Linked DNA regions of Danio rerio. The protein of the gene in region 1 interacts with the protein of each later gene in a pairwise test. Links are inferred from orthologs where the notes say so. Each region holds a gene or a part of one and is shown on either strand. Other genes may lie near its edges. The genes, in order: pex5 and acot8.

Region 1 (7,653 bases):
ACCGTATGTTAATATCACTACAATATTATGGACTGAAAAATCTGCTGTAAATGCTGCTCTCCCGAGTGTAAACGTGCAAGCACCACAACCAAGGTTACCGTCATGGAGGATTTTTGCTGCATTTTGTGACAGGAATAACACACACGGCTTTCTGACGCTACCTACAGAGTGCACCTAAGTTTCAGAGAGGGGTTTTTTTCTCTTATTCGTCATGCTGTAACAAACATTGCATGAAACATACACGCTTCCAGCAATTCCTCATTTGTCATGAGGGGCATGAATGAAATTCCTGAATGAAAGAGCCAAACTGCAGTTAAAGTCCACTATTTAATAATTTGGCAAATAATTTGATTACTGATAAACATAGTCACTGTCTTTCTACTCTGCGTTTGTGTGTTTGTTTTGCCTGTGTGAAAATCAGCACGTGCCCAAACCGACACTCCCATTTTTGTGCAAATTTTTACGGACCATGCCTTTTTCTCTCCTCCGACACTCCCCTAAACAGAGCTGGACACGCCCACTTTCCTGACTTTTTCCAAAGTAGAGGTGTAAAAAACCCTGCCGAAACAGAAGGGTTTCATGGCCCTTTAAGCACTTTTTTGTTTAATTAGCTTGTCGAATGGTCATCAGAACCAAACTTTTTGATGTACCAAAACATTTCCTTACAAATTTGTAAAAAAAAAAACATAACAAAAACAATTGTGTTAGCGAGATGTATTTAATAAAAAACTGTAACTTTTTGTTATTTATTAACCAAATAACATTCTGGCCACTACATTCAATTTTACTCAGTTTGAATAAACAAATAAATAAAGCTTAACATTTTTTTCTACATTTTTCTTTTGTAAAAAAGTTCAATTGAAAATTAATGGATAGCAATAGTCTGATTATTATTAAAATTAACCCTAACTTTAATATTGACCACCTTTGATGCTTTACACCTTTTTATTGATAATTTTTTGTTTCACCAATAAGGTCCAAGATTTGGAATAAAAGTTACTTGTAAAATGTTTTCTGTATTTAACAACAGTACAGTCAGTCAGTAGTGTAAGATGACTTAACTTTCTTCAGATTGTGGCACAGCTAGATGTTGGACTCATGAAAAACAATTGTTTGCATTGATCAAAACTGATAAGCTGAAGTGACGACAGCCAGCAGAGGATTCTGTTTGGTCTTAAAGCCTTTTTCGATGGGTTATTTTCAATATTTGTGATGGAAAAGCAGTCAAAATATGTCAAATGAGCTCATGTATGGGACAAATTCTGCACCTTTGTCAGTGGAGGGTGGGTCTTTCGAACCACCCAAACCCCCCCGGCTATGGGCCTGATGTGTGTGTGAATGAGTGTGTATGGATGTTTCCCAGTATTGGGTTGCAGCTAAAAGGGCATTTGTTGTGTAAAACATATGCTGGATAAGTTGGCGGTTCATTCCGCTGTGGCGACCTTTGATAAAGGCACTAAGCCGAAAGAAAATGAATGCATGAATAAAACATATAAGATAATTCTGCATAATTGAAGCAAATATACTGAGGTTTGTCTGGGTTATGGCTGGAAGGGGATCCGCTGCATAAAACATATGGCAGAATAGTTGGTGGTTCATTACGCTGTGGTGACCCCTGATAAAAAAAGGGACTAAGCCCAAGAAAAATAAATTAATGAATACTGTGGTTTAAGTCTTAAAGTGCTCTGAAATTATTTATAATTTATATTAAAAAAAAAAAAAAACATTGGAACTAAATGCTATTATTATATGGTAAAAAACATCAAAATTAGAGTCCTCGAAGAGTATGATGTGTTTAATAAATTAAAAACAAGACATCTTTGTTGTTTTCACATACAGTAAATTAGCTGCAGTCACAAACTTTAAGAATAAACATCACATAATATCATTGTCTAACATCAACCAGGAGGTTACCTTTACTTTAGCAGAGCGACGTCAGCATAAATAACAAACAAATCAATAGATCAGCTAATATTAGATATTATATTTAGTGTTTGTCTGCCATCCTTATACAGACATTTGAACCATAATATATTTAAACTATATCTAAGTCATTTATTTTCTCACTTTTTGGTGTTTTGTTTACACACTAATAAAGTTTAAGTGCCCTACACTGAAAAAAAAATTAAAATAATTCCTTGGATTTACAAAATTTTTTAAGTTAAGTGGTTGTAAACAATTTATTTGGTTCACATTTAAACAAACAAGTTAAGTTGACCATTAATAAATAAAATTTGATTTTTTTAAATTCACCACATATAAATTGTTTGCACATCTTTTTTTCAGGGTAGATTGACCTGAGTGTTTTTCTACAACGTTGTAGCCGTTTATTGATAAACTAATTCAAATAAACAAGCATATTATTAAAATAATACACAACTTTATCTAAAAAAACAAGTAATGCACAAAAAGGAATTCATTTAAAATACTGTACAAAACCATTTAAAAGCACATTTCCTGGATGATAACAAAAGGATACCATCCTGTCATTAAGACATGCGCTGTCACTTTAGGAATTTTACGTAACTTCAGCGTAAACCTGCCTACATCCGTCGTGACGCTTGGCGTAGCTCAAAGCGCCTGCCGTCGCTCTTTACGCAAATGGCGTTTGTGAATAGCCGGAGCGTAGCGTGTAGGTTCGTGTGGCTGGTTCGCTCCTGTTTCACTGGGCCACACGGGGAAGGTAAATAAAGACAGGACGGTCACCAGCGCAGCATTTTTAGCCGTCAGACCCCGACAACTAGAGGACCGTCCACCGCTGCCGTGTCTTTAGGGCCTGCTTTCCTCGGTCGGGTTTGGTCTTTGTTTTAACCGCATTACTCACGGGATAAAAGGCGAAAGAGAAGAAAAAGAGGTGACAACGTCGCCTGTGCAGGTGAGTGGAGTTTATTTAGCTTGTAAGCTAACTGTCTGCAGTTGAGCTATCAGCTTTATCCTTAACCATTCAATACTAACGCTACGCAAACACGACTGCGAATAGTTGTGGATAACGTTGACTGCCGTTAGAGGAGACTCATCACACTCACTAATGTTTCTGTGCTGAAGCAAAACTGACAGCAGATCAGTGCAAAAGTGTCTAGTCTGACTGTATCCACTGTATGTTATCAATGACCCGATGACCATTCAACCGGTGCCCGTTCATAACCCAAACTCTCTTGCTAGATTCACTAATTAAATTTTGTCCATCAATTCTGGCCAGCAGGTTGTTTTGGGATTATTGCATAAGGACAGTAAGTTGGTCGTTCACATGCAGTCTTGGTTAATTGTTAATAGCTGTTTTCAGGAACAATGAAATCTGTGTAATCCTTCTAGTCTGGATAAGCTGATGGAGCATATGTTTATGCCAGTGGAAAGGTGGCTCAGTCCGCTGGATTTATCTCAAGCTGATGATTCATTGTGTCTGTTTTATTTCATGCCAGGTAAGGTGACATAGGACTTAAAGGCAGATATTCATACAAACAAATCACCTGCTGAGATTAAACTGTTTACAGTAACTGTTATGAATTGTTATAGATTTTCTGCAACCTTTGGGTTACAGGTTAGTGGTTTTCATCTGTAGAGGACCAGGACCCATAGATGCACTCTGCATTTCTCTAGAACAGCCTGTAAAAATGATGTAAAATTGTTTATAAAGTGTTTGTTATACTTAATAACAATAAAAAAACTTTACTGCAATATATATTACCTCTTGTGTGGTATTAGTATTCTGTATAATCTGTTTGTCTCAAGGGTAAGAAGGGATACACCTTCACTAAACCTCCAAAACGAAACAACTAATTTATTTTCGGTCTGCACATCTGTTTTGCATGAAGAAGCAACCTCATGATCCATCAAAAACTCTGAATATCTCGGTTTTCCATCGTCAGTGTTTTATTTAACAGACTATTTAAATCGTTGTATAATATTCAAGTAAAGGTTTATATTTTCTAAGGTTTGTGTGTGTGTGTGTGTGTGTGTGTGTGTGTGTGTGTGTGTCTGTGTCTGTGTCTGTGTGTGTGTGTGTTATAGCTAGCTGATCAAATTTGACCCCATAATCCTTACTTTGTATCCTATAGTGTAACAAAAATAATAGAAAATGGTTACTTTTTCAAATGTTGGGATCATTTTATATATATATATATATATATATATATATATATATATATATATATATATATATATATATATATATAAATAATGATCCCAACATTTGATCCCAACATATATATAAACATTAAAAAAAAAAACATTTATTTTTTTCTTGTGTTAAATTGGTCACGGGTCTTTTTTTACCTCATGTCAACACAAAGCCATTGTTTTACATTAGGCACTGTAATGTGGTTATCCTTCAGGCTAGAAAACTGTCATTCACTTAGTAAATTTGTAAAAGGAGAAAAAATATTGAGCTGTTAAAATAATTATTTATTAATGTTAATAAATTGGGATTTGGACTTTAGACATAAAATAGTCTGCTTAATACTCCTTGGTTATCATCTTTTCTAAACACCTTGTTTAACTCCAGGCCAAAGGATGATTTACACTGCAACTTGAGCAACACGTTATTTTACACTGATAGTGAAGTCAAATAGTGATGCAAATGCAAGAGTTGCAGTAAATATAGGAGACAGTTTCATGAAAAGTCCACTCAGGATAGAGAGAGTTGCAGTCAGCAGTATATAATATGAGGATGGTAGAGCATTTATTTCAACTGGTTGTATGCTGTGTTTTTGTAATAAAATGAAGAAGAACATTGACCCAGTTTAAAGATTTAGGCTGCTCCTTCATATTCAGGACTATTTGTTAACCCTGGGTAAATTAAGTGCAGTGTGAAACATGAAAATATTCCAGAATGCCATTATCCCAATGGTTTGGGATTGGTAAAAAGATTTAAAAAGGTCCCAGACTACTGTTCGAAACTTTTAATGTCACATTTTTAACTACTTCCATACCACTCAGTGATGATGTTTCATTTACTTATAGATATCTTAAGGTGCTAGTTTGATCCAGCCTGAGGGTGTGTTGCCATGGCGATGCGGGAGTTAGTGGAGGCGGAATGTGGGGGAGCCAATCCCCTCATGAAACTGACTGGTCACATGACCCAAGAGGGCGGGGCTTGGAGACATCGATCAACGCCCACTGTAAGTTACAAAACCTTATTTTTGTAATCATGACTACATGTTAAGGGCTGAGACCAAACGATGTGCTGATATATTTGGTGACATTGGTTATGTAAATGGATCAGAGATAAAAAGGTGTTTTCAAGCATCAAAAGCTTAAGCTCATTCATTGGAATGAGAATCATTTTAGCCTGATTTATGCAAGATAGTAGTTTATATAACAAAATAAGCTTGTCAGGCATATTTAAGCATCACAGTGCAGCTCCAAAATGTTAGTCAGATCTCCTTTTAAGTCTTTATGCTTTGCCACTATACCTATTTGTTAGCAGTTTTGAATCATTTTAAAGAACATTAAGTATGATCACTCTTATTCTTTTTTTTTAATGTATTTTTTAAAGTACAGGTGTAAATTATTTTTTTTTATTTTGCATAAATATATCTGTTTTGTTGATTGATGGAATATTATTTCACTTAGGTTGACATTTTATTTTTGTTAAAGTTATATGAAATTCTGAAGTAAACACTTAGGGAAAATAGAATCACCAACATATCTTTAACACAAAATATTGTATGAAGTGAATCCATTTGTAAATTAAGGAAATGATTACCATTTTGAAAACAGACATAATCAGGGTGTACATCTGAGATGTAGAATCAGCTACTCAAGGCGTACACACTCATATTTATTGAAAGGGGAACACCTGTGACTTGTGTAAGGATATATGGTAACACTTTATAATAACTACACACTATGAATCATCTATTAAGCATTAGCAAATAGTTAATTCTTTATATGTTAAGTATTAACTCTAAATAGACGTTAGTAAGCAGTTTATAAATTCAACTACAAATGCTGTATTCTTGACTTATAAGCGCATTTAAAATGTGCTCAATGATTGTGTTTTCATACTTAATTACATTTTAATTGTTCATTCATTCATTCATTCATTTATTCATTTTCTCTTCGGCTTAGTCCCTTTATTAATCCGGGGTCGCCACAGCGGAATGAACCGCCAACTTATCCAGCAGGTTTTTACGCAGCGGATACCCTTTCAGGGAAACATCCACACACAATCATTAACACACACTAATACACTATGGACAAATTAGCCTACCCAATTCACCTGTACCGCATGTCTTTGGACTGTGGGGGAAACCGGAGCACCCGGAGGAAACCCATGCGAACGCAGGGAGAACATGCAAACTCCACACAGAAACGCCAACTGACCCGAACCAGCGACCCAGTGACCTTCTTGCTGTGAGACACCAGCACTACATACTGTGCCACTGCGTCGCCCATTTTAATCGTTTATTACTAAATTTAGTATTGCATTATTTACAAATTGTGATGCAATTTGATATATGTATATATATATATATATATATATATATATATATATATATATATATATATATATATATATATATATATATATATATATTTGAAATAAATGCAAAACCGAGAAAACCGCAATTCACAAGCGCGTATTGAACCGTGGAGGTCGTACCGTAAGGTTCAATATTTTATTGAGAACTGTGGCATGCCTAATATATATATATATATATATATATATATATATATATATATATATATATATATATATATATATATATATATATATACAGTTGAAGTGAGAATTATTAGACCCCCTGAATATTTAGACCGCATGTTTATTTTTTTCCCATTTTCTGTTTGACAGAGGGCAGATTTTTGCAACACATTTTTAAGCATAATAGTTTTAATAACTCATCTCTAATAACTGATTTATTTTATCTTTGCCATGATGACAGTAAATAATATTTTACTGGATATTTTTTTGTATTTAAAAAATGATTCATAGTGTGTAGTTATTATAAAGTGTTACTGGAAATATTTTAAGGGCAATGTTTAAAAAGTTATTGTTGTATATTTAGTATAGGTCTTGTCATGAATATAGCCAATGTTGCTGATATGGCAATGAAACATAAATAAAGCATCTTTGACACAAATATATTAAAATGCAGGGAATTCATAAAAAGAGAGACTTAATTTTTGAGAATTTCTCAAAAATCTCAAATCCCATAACCAAAAGTTTGGACTTACATTTGTTTTGTTATTTTTACATATACATTTTATTCACATTCAACAACATTCTCTCAAATGCAAGGTCTGTAGACCTGCTGTTTAAATAAACCTTTATTAATAGTATTGCATTTTTTTGTATTGTTTATTAATAGTAGTAGTTGCGATTATTATTTATTAGAAAGTGAATTAAAGAATTAATCAACCAATGAGAAAATATTCCAAATATGCATTCAAAAATAGCCACTTGATTAATCTAATCCTTTTTCAGTAGATTAATTGTTTAAGTAATTGTTAATTGCAATCTTGAAAATATTATTGATTAGGATTTTTCCCTTTTTCCCCATAGATTCCTCCTACTCCCATTGAAATAGCCACTGAAGAAGAGGTTTGTATAATCTGTTTTAAATGACTTGATCAGCTTGTATAAGCTCATATAGTCTGTGATCATGTTCTTACAACCTGTCCTGTTGTTTTCTTTTTTGAATGCAGCTG
Region 2 (7,475 bases), on another chromosome or scaffold:
TGATTTTGAGTCTTAATTTGGCCACAACGTCCTTTGTGTTTCAGCAAATGGAATGATTTTTGGTAACAGATCTTTTTTTTATTGCATATTTTGGGAAAAAAAACTGTTGTTGTTGTTTACCCAGACATTTAAAAAGAATATATTTTAAAGCAGTAATCGCAATACTGTCATATATTTATGCAGGTTTATCCTACCGTTAGAATCTTACATCAACTCATGCCTAGTCCAGAAATGAGCAATAATGCAGAGAAGCGTCTGCTGACCTGACCAGGGGCTTTCACACTCGTACAGCATCCACTCGTCTGCTCTGAACGTGCTGTGAAACCACATGGCGTGATCCAGAGAGGCTGAGAACTGCGACCTGTAGTTTGGGTACGGTAACAGCGCCGTCCCCAGGAAAGCGTAGTCGGACACATACGCTGCCACACAGCGGTGCAGTTTCATATCGCCAGGTCCTACAACAAAAGCAAGAAGGTCGCTGGTTCGAACCTCGACTGGGTCAGTTGGCATTTCTGTGTGGAGTTTGCATGTTCTCCCCGAGTTGGCGTGGGTTTCCTCCGGGTGCTCCGGTTTCCCCAACCGTCCAAACACATGTGCTATAGGGAGATTGATGAAGTAAATTGGCAGTAGTGTATGAGTGTGTGTGTGTGAATGAGTGTGTATGGGTGTTTCCTAGTACTGGGAGGGCATCCGCTGCTTGAAACATATGTTGCATAAGTTGGCGGTTCATTCCGCTGTGGCGACCTATGAAATAGAGACTAAGCTGAAGGAAAATGAATGAATAAAATGGTGCATGTTTTACCTATATATCCTCTGGCTCGCACCCAGATCAGTGTTTTTGCCTCCATAGCAACACGTCTGAAGAAATCCGGTGGATTGACTGGCTTGATCTCTATCGGAACTTCATCAGCTCGTATTTTATTCAGACCCTGCCGAGTGTTGTCTGCCAGATCCGGTTTACTGTAAAACAAACCAAACACAAGGATGAGTGTGACATGCAGTGGTTTAATAATCAGTCAGTTTTTAATCCTGAGGGTGACCTGAGGAAGCGCTGTATGAGCTCCTCCACGGTCAGCAGAGTGTCTGGCGGAGGGACGCTGGGCATGCTGAACTGGTGCTCCAGAGGACTGGGCTGCTGCATGTGAAACGATGCCTGGAGGATGAGAATGGGCTGACCGTGCTGGATGGCCTTCACAGATCGCACACAGAAACTGCGGCCGTCGCGCGTCCTCTCCACCTGGTACAGCACCGGCACCTTCGGGTCCCCTGGAAAATATACAGGTGAAGTCAAAATTATTCGCTCTTGTGTGAATTTTTAAAAATATTTCCTCAAATGATGTTGAGCAGATTCAGGAATTTCTCACAGTATTTCTTATAATGTTTGTTCTTCTGGTGAAAGGCTTATTTGTTTTATTTGGGCTAGAATAAAAGCAGTTTTTAACTGTTTTAAAGCCTTTTTAAGGTCAATATTATTAACCCCTTAAGCAATATTAGTTTTGGATTGTCTCCAGAACAAACCACTGTTATACAATAACTTGCCTAATTACCCTAACCTGCCTAGTAACCTAAAGGAAGTTTATTTATAAACTAATTTTGAGAGGATCATGTGCTTAGGATTTATCACAGCCGGTCTCGCATTAGCTAATCATGATCTTCCAATCATATGATTTATAACCCTACTGAAAAAACCAGCTTAAACCAGCCTAGGCTGGTTGGCTGGTTTTAGCTGGTTGACCAGGCTGGTTTTAGAGGGTTTTTGGCCACTTCCAGGCTGGTTTCCAGCCATTTCCAGCCTGGTCTTAGCTGGTCAGGCTGGGAGATGACCAGCTAAAACCAGCTTGACCAGCCTAGCCAGGCTGGGAGTCCAGCCAAAACCAGCTATGTCCAGCTTAAACCAGGCTGGTCAAGCTGGTTTTAGCTGGATTTAGCTGGTCAGTTTCCAGCCTGACCAGCTAAGACCAGGCTGGAAATGGCTGGAAACCAGCCTGGAAATGGCCAAAACCCCTCTAAAACCAGGCTGGTCAACCAGCTAAAACCAGCCAACCAGCCTAGGCTGGTTTAAGCTGGATTTTTCTGCAGGGAAGTTACTATAAATAACGACAGTCTTTTGTGGATCCGTCAGCGCCGCTCAAGAGGCGTTGCTCGCTGCAGAAGTTGGGACTAGCTCAACTTTTCAAGCGCCGACGGAAGCGTCAGCCAATCAGATCGCTGTATGCAAATACACCAGCTAGACAGTGGCTGCGTCCGAAACCGCCTACTACTCAGTAGGTGCTGCATTTGAATTTAAACGTACTGCTCGGCCGTTAGAAAAGTACGTTGTATACAGTATGAACGTGAAAAGTATGAATGGAATTCGGACGCACTACATCCGCCATTTTGTCACGGTCACGTGACCTGCCTGCGTCAATTGCGTCGCTTACTCCCATTCAGGTATTCGCTCGCGGGGCATCATGGGATAGCGCAGCATGCATGGGATGAGCACTCTAGAATCTCGCCGGAAGTAGTAAGTCATCCGGGTACTTCTCGCATACTGTTTTTCGAATTCTATGAATTCGGACATACTACTCGGCTCGCATACTGATTTTAGCGTACTATATAGTATGGAAGTATGCGGTTTCGGACGCAGCCAGTGGCCTATTTTTGACTGAATTTCATTGGCTGACGCTTCTATTACGATCGTTTCATCCCCAACTTCAGACACGCCTTCAGTCAAGCGTTGACGCTGAAGCCCCGTGTGAATGGGGCGTTACACTTCCGCGCGCTTTTTCTGTTGTTCTGCAAGAACACTTCTGAAACGCTAGATGGCAGTGAGGTGATTATGTTATGTCGAGTTTCTTCACTGGTGTTTTGTTTTTTCTGAATGCTACCTTAATGTCCAAGTGGCTCAAACTCGCTCATTTTGAGGCAGGAACGAGGGGATGTGCAACAACTTTAATCATGAGGTAAACACAAAACAAAACTTTCCATCCGGAGCTCCCTCACGGGACTTCACACTTGTAAGTAATCGCTCCATCTGGCTCGCGCGGCTCTCAGTCCCACCATGACTCGTCAGCGCTACCATGCCGACTAATAACAGAGCTTGCGCCATGTAGTTAAATTTTTTTAGAGGTGCGCGTCAGCCACGCCAACGGCCACGGCGTAGGGCTATGCGTCAACATGTAGGCTGCGCCATAGCATACGAGTGCGCTTGACGCAGAAGTATAAATCAGCCTTTAGCCCCACAGCAAGAACACTGCCGGCCCAATTCACATGTACCTGTCTTTGGACTGGGGAAACCGGAGAACCCGGAGGAAACCCACGCGAATGCAGGGAGAACATGCAAACTCCACACAGAAACACCAACTGTCCCAGCCGAGGCTCGAACCAGCGACCTTTTTGCTGTGAGGGGACAGCACAACCTACTGCGCCATTGTTTCACCTTATAAAAGCAACTTTACCTCAAAATGCCTTAGGTGTCTTAGAAATAAACACAACATCACCTGCTCTGACAAAGTAGCAGTGCAGTGAATGAGCATAGAGGTGTTCAGCAACTGAGTTGGCTGCAGCTACGAGAGCCTGTCCCACAATCTGGCCCCCGAAGAGCCGCTTAGTGCGGGGGACCCAGTGGTGTGTCCCTCTACAGACAAAACACACGCTTTTAGTTAGTTTAATATAATGTACATGCAAAAAATATATTACTGACTCAATACAAAATGGTTATATAGACAGCAAATCTAGCAAACACGTGTACGTATTATAAAAAAATAATTTGTTTACCTGTACAGGTCGGTGTCGAGCTTCTCTAAATTTAACACACTTGTAACCAGGACACTTCTGAGGTCAGGTTCACTTGATTTAGACACACGGTTTACTTCATTACCAACCGGAGATTCACTACCGCGTTCAGCCATGTTTACTGTACTGTGCTAAAGGCGAATCTTTCGAATCGATTCCCAATGATTCATTTATGATGTTCGCGGAAGTACTCCATTGGTGGACTGTTACATGATTTATTTGTTGTAATACAATATCCGTTGGTAAATATTGTAAGTTGTTGTTAAATTGATGTATATAAATGATAAGTATTAGAGTCATTATGGGATAAATAATCGTTTTGAGTCATCAAATCAATGGAATCTTGATTCACTGATTCGAACTTTAGGACTCAGCGCACTTGAGGACCTCTACTGGTGAGCAGGCAGCTGGAAAATAGCTTTATCGTTGTTGTGTTATGGGAAAACGTACTCTTTTGCTTTACTATCTATCCTAACCAAGACAATTAGATTTATTTAATTAATTTGATTGTTCTGTTTACCAAATTTTACATTCATAATAGCAAATTCACTAACAGGAAACCTAATTGTATGGTTTTGTTGATTGAATTATGCTTACATATTACCAGTATGAGAGACTTTTAAACAAGAAAGTCTTAAAAACTTAAAAAATGTGTATAATTATAATGTATTTAATTAACGTTTATATTTATACACTTTGTTTATATTTTGTTTATACTTACCTCCCCTTGGCATCTACTTTAAATGTCTGTAAAATGTTATATGCTATTGTTTTTAAATAGAAATAAATGAAAAATAGCTATACAATATTCTTACCATCACATTTTGCTCTCTGAATGCAACTAAATAACCCATTTATTGCATGTGTACAGTGTTATCTGAAGAGAGTAATGTTACTTTTATTTCATTAAGTGTAATGTAAAGCTGGACTGGTTTACTTTTGCTCGAGTATGTTTTTGGCCAGACACTAAATTTGCATTCAGTATATCTGCACTTGAGAATAATCTTTGAGTATTTTTACCCCCTGCTTTTTTATCTCAATGCATTCTTGCTGAATAAAATTAAATCCTTAAAACAACAACTACAACTACTACTATAAATTACTCCACTTTTTTTTAAATGCAACATTATGGTTTCCACCAAACAACAATAAGCAGCAAAACCATTTTAACAATTAAATTAATATGATTTTATTTGGATTATCAGTTTTGCATATAGGTTTTTGGAGGATCATATTTGAAGTAATGATGCTAAAAAAATTATTCCAATCATTGGATTAATTTACAATTTAGACTGCTATACATACACAGAGACAAACATAGTTGTTTTAATTGTGAAATATTTTACATTATATTGTTTTTTGTTGTTGTTTGTTTGTTTTGTTTTACGCAATAAAAGCTAAGTTTTTGAGCAGAAATTAGCAGACTTAAAATAGATAATAACTCTATAATATTTGTTTAATATCAGAATATAGACTACTTGTCAGAATCAGTGTTGTATTTCAATGTTTGGTAAAATGTGCAGCTGCACTACCACAAAGAGCCCGCTAGAGGGAATCCCAGGCCAAGCATTCTGTACCTGTACGTTCACAGAGAAACCACTGTAATTAACGCTGCTGAATGCCTGTTAAATAATAAATAATTGCACTGATATAATTAACATCAACACACATCTAGCACAAATAAGACCATAAAAGGTAAAAAAAACAACAACATTAAAATATTGTGCATTGTTTAAATACCAACAATGCACAATATAAAATACCAGTTACAATCTTTAATAATAATAATAATAAGTAGAATCACCATCATCATCATCATCATCATCAACATCATCATCATCATCATCTTCATCATCATCATCATCATCATCATCATCATCATCATCATCATCATCATCATCTTCATCATCATCGTCATCATCATCATCATCATCATCATCTTCATAAATACTAATAATAATTATTATTATTATTATTAATAATAATCTTAAATAATAGTAACAATAAGAATAATAATAATATTTATAATTATCAATAATAAGAACAATAATATTAAATAATAATACTTATAATAATAATTATCATTATTATAAAACTAAAGTGAGTGAACGAAGTGAAGTGAAGAGAAGCATTTTTAGGTGACGATTATATGACATATGACAATTATCAATGCACATCGACCTTGTATAAAACCACAAACAATGACAAAATATTGACATTTCTAAAGCATAATTTAAATGGATAAATGCATAGGATCAATATTTTTATAAAAGTTTCATAATAATAATATTAGCAGGCTAATAATAATAATATTAATAACAATAAAACTAATATTAATATGCTAGAAATAATAATAATAATAAAAACAACAAAAATAGGCTAGAAATAATAATAATAATAATAATAATATTAATAATAACATAAATAAATAAATAAATAAATGAAAAAATATACTAATAATAATAATAACAACAATAAAATAACAAAAATGAATAAAAAATGAAAATAAATAATGATAACAAATAAATAAATAATGACAATAATAATAATAATAATAATAATTATAATAATAATAATATTAAAAAATAAAATAACAAAATAGCAAACAAATAAATAAAATAATTATAATAAAAACAATATTAATAATAATAATGACAATAATAATAGTAATAATAATGATAATAATAATAACAAACAAATTATACAAACAATAAACAAAGTAATTAATTAATTAATAAAAATAAATTATAAATAATAGCAATAATAATAACAATAATAATAATAATTACAACGATAATAAATGAAATAATAATTAATTAATAAAAATTAATTAAAAAATACAACAACAACAACAACACCAATAATAATTATAATAATAAACGAATGAATAAATTGATTAATAAAATAAATAAATAATAATATTAATTATTATTATTATTGTAAAAATAATAACAACGGCAAATAAATAACAAGAATTGAAAAAAATATACCAAATATGAATAAATCTAAAGGGATTGACTGTCATATCCTCAGCTGTCTCCGCGTCTTCAACTCGCGCATGCGCACTCGGGCTCTCCTCCTCAGCGCTGCTGTTTCTGTCAAACTGAATCTGCTCTCAGTCATTGACGCGCGCAGCTCGGCATTTCTCTCCATCACCGCGGGTTTCCTCCTCCATGGCCGCATCAGATGGACCAGAGGACTGCGTCGTGCAGAGAGGAAGATCTCAGAGCGACCCGAGCATCCTCACCGAGACTCGTGTCGTGCCAGGTGAGTCGAAAAACACCGATTTTCGCGGTATTTATGACTCGACATCTGAATTTATACACTGCGGAGGGGTGGTGGAGATACTGATGGCGTCTTCAGAGGAACCGCAAACATGATGGCATGACTGGCAAGATGTCTGTGCACATGCATTATGATGATGCAGAAGATGAAGAGCATCAGAGACTGTGTGTGTGTGTGTGTGTTCATGCTTCATGTCTGTGTGTGTTCTGGTGCTGAGGAGATGCTGTGGGCTTCCCCATGACTGATGGATGCAGGATATTGGAAAAATCTGACATTGAGATAGTTTGTTTATAAATATGAAGGCTTGGATAGCTCTATTTGGAGATAAATCATTGATTAGGATTGATTGGGGTGATTGACTATGGGTGTGAATCATGTATAAACAAATAATAAACAAATTACAAGCAAAATAATTA

Evidence for each region.
Region 2: the proteins of pex5 (region 1) and acot8 interact in binary tests that used the Homo sapiens proteins (3 or more experiments, as listed by UniProt). The link is inferred for Danio rerio from reciprocal best matches to the Homo sapiens genes PEX5 and ACOT8.

Annotation. Positions count from the first base shown.
Region 1 is NC_133191.1:12,442,386-12,450,038, reverse strand, and holds the start of pex5 (peroxisomal biogenesis factor 5), read left to right. Parts: upstream 1-2,620; 5' UTR 2,621-3,419; intron 3,420-4,959; 5' UTR 4,960-5,003; coding exon 5,004-5,117; intron 5,118-7,507; coding exon 7,508-7,546; intron 7,547-7,650; coding exon 7,651-7,653.
Region 2 is NC_133186.1:1,591,022-1,598,496, reverse strand, and holds the start of acot8 (acyl-coenzyme A thioesterase 8), read right to left. Parts: upstream 3,900-7,475; 5' UTR 3,891-3,899; coding exon 3,757-3,890; intron 3,617-3,756; coding exon 3,480-3,616; exon of another isoform or gene 2,089-3,479; intron 1,677-2,088; exon of another isoform or gene 1,267-1,676; coding exon 1,041-1,266; intron 961-1,040; coding exon 803-960; intron 456-802; coding exon 264-455; intron 1-263. Other genes in the region: phactr3b (phosphatase and actin regulator 3b), read left to right, coding at 6,948-7,041. UniProt on the Homo sapiens protein: Catalyzes the hydrolysis of acyl-CoAs into free fatty acids and coenzyme A (CoASH), regulating their respective intracellular levels. Displays no strong substrate specificity with respect to the carboxylic acid moiety of Acyl-CoAs.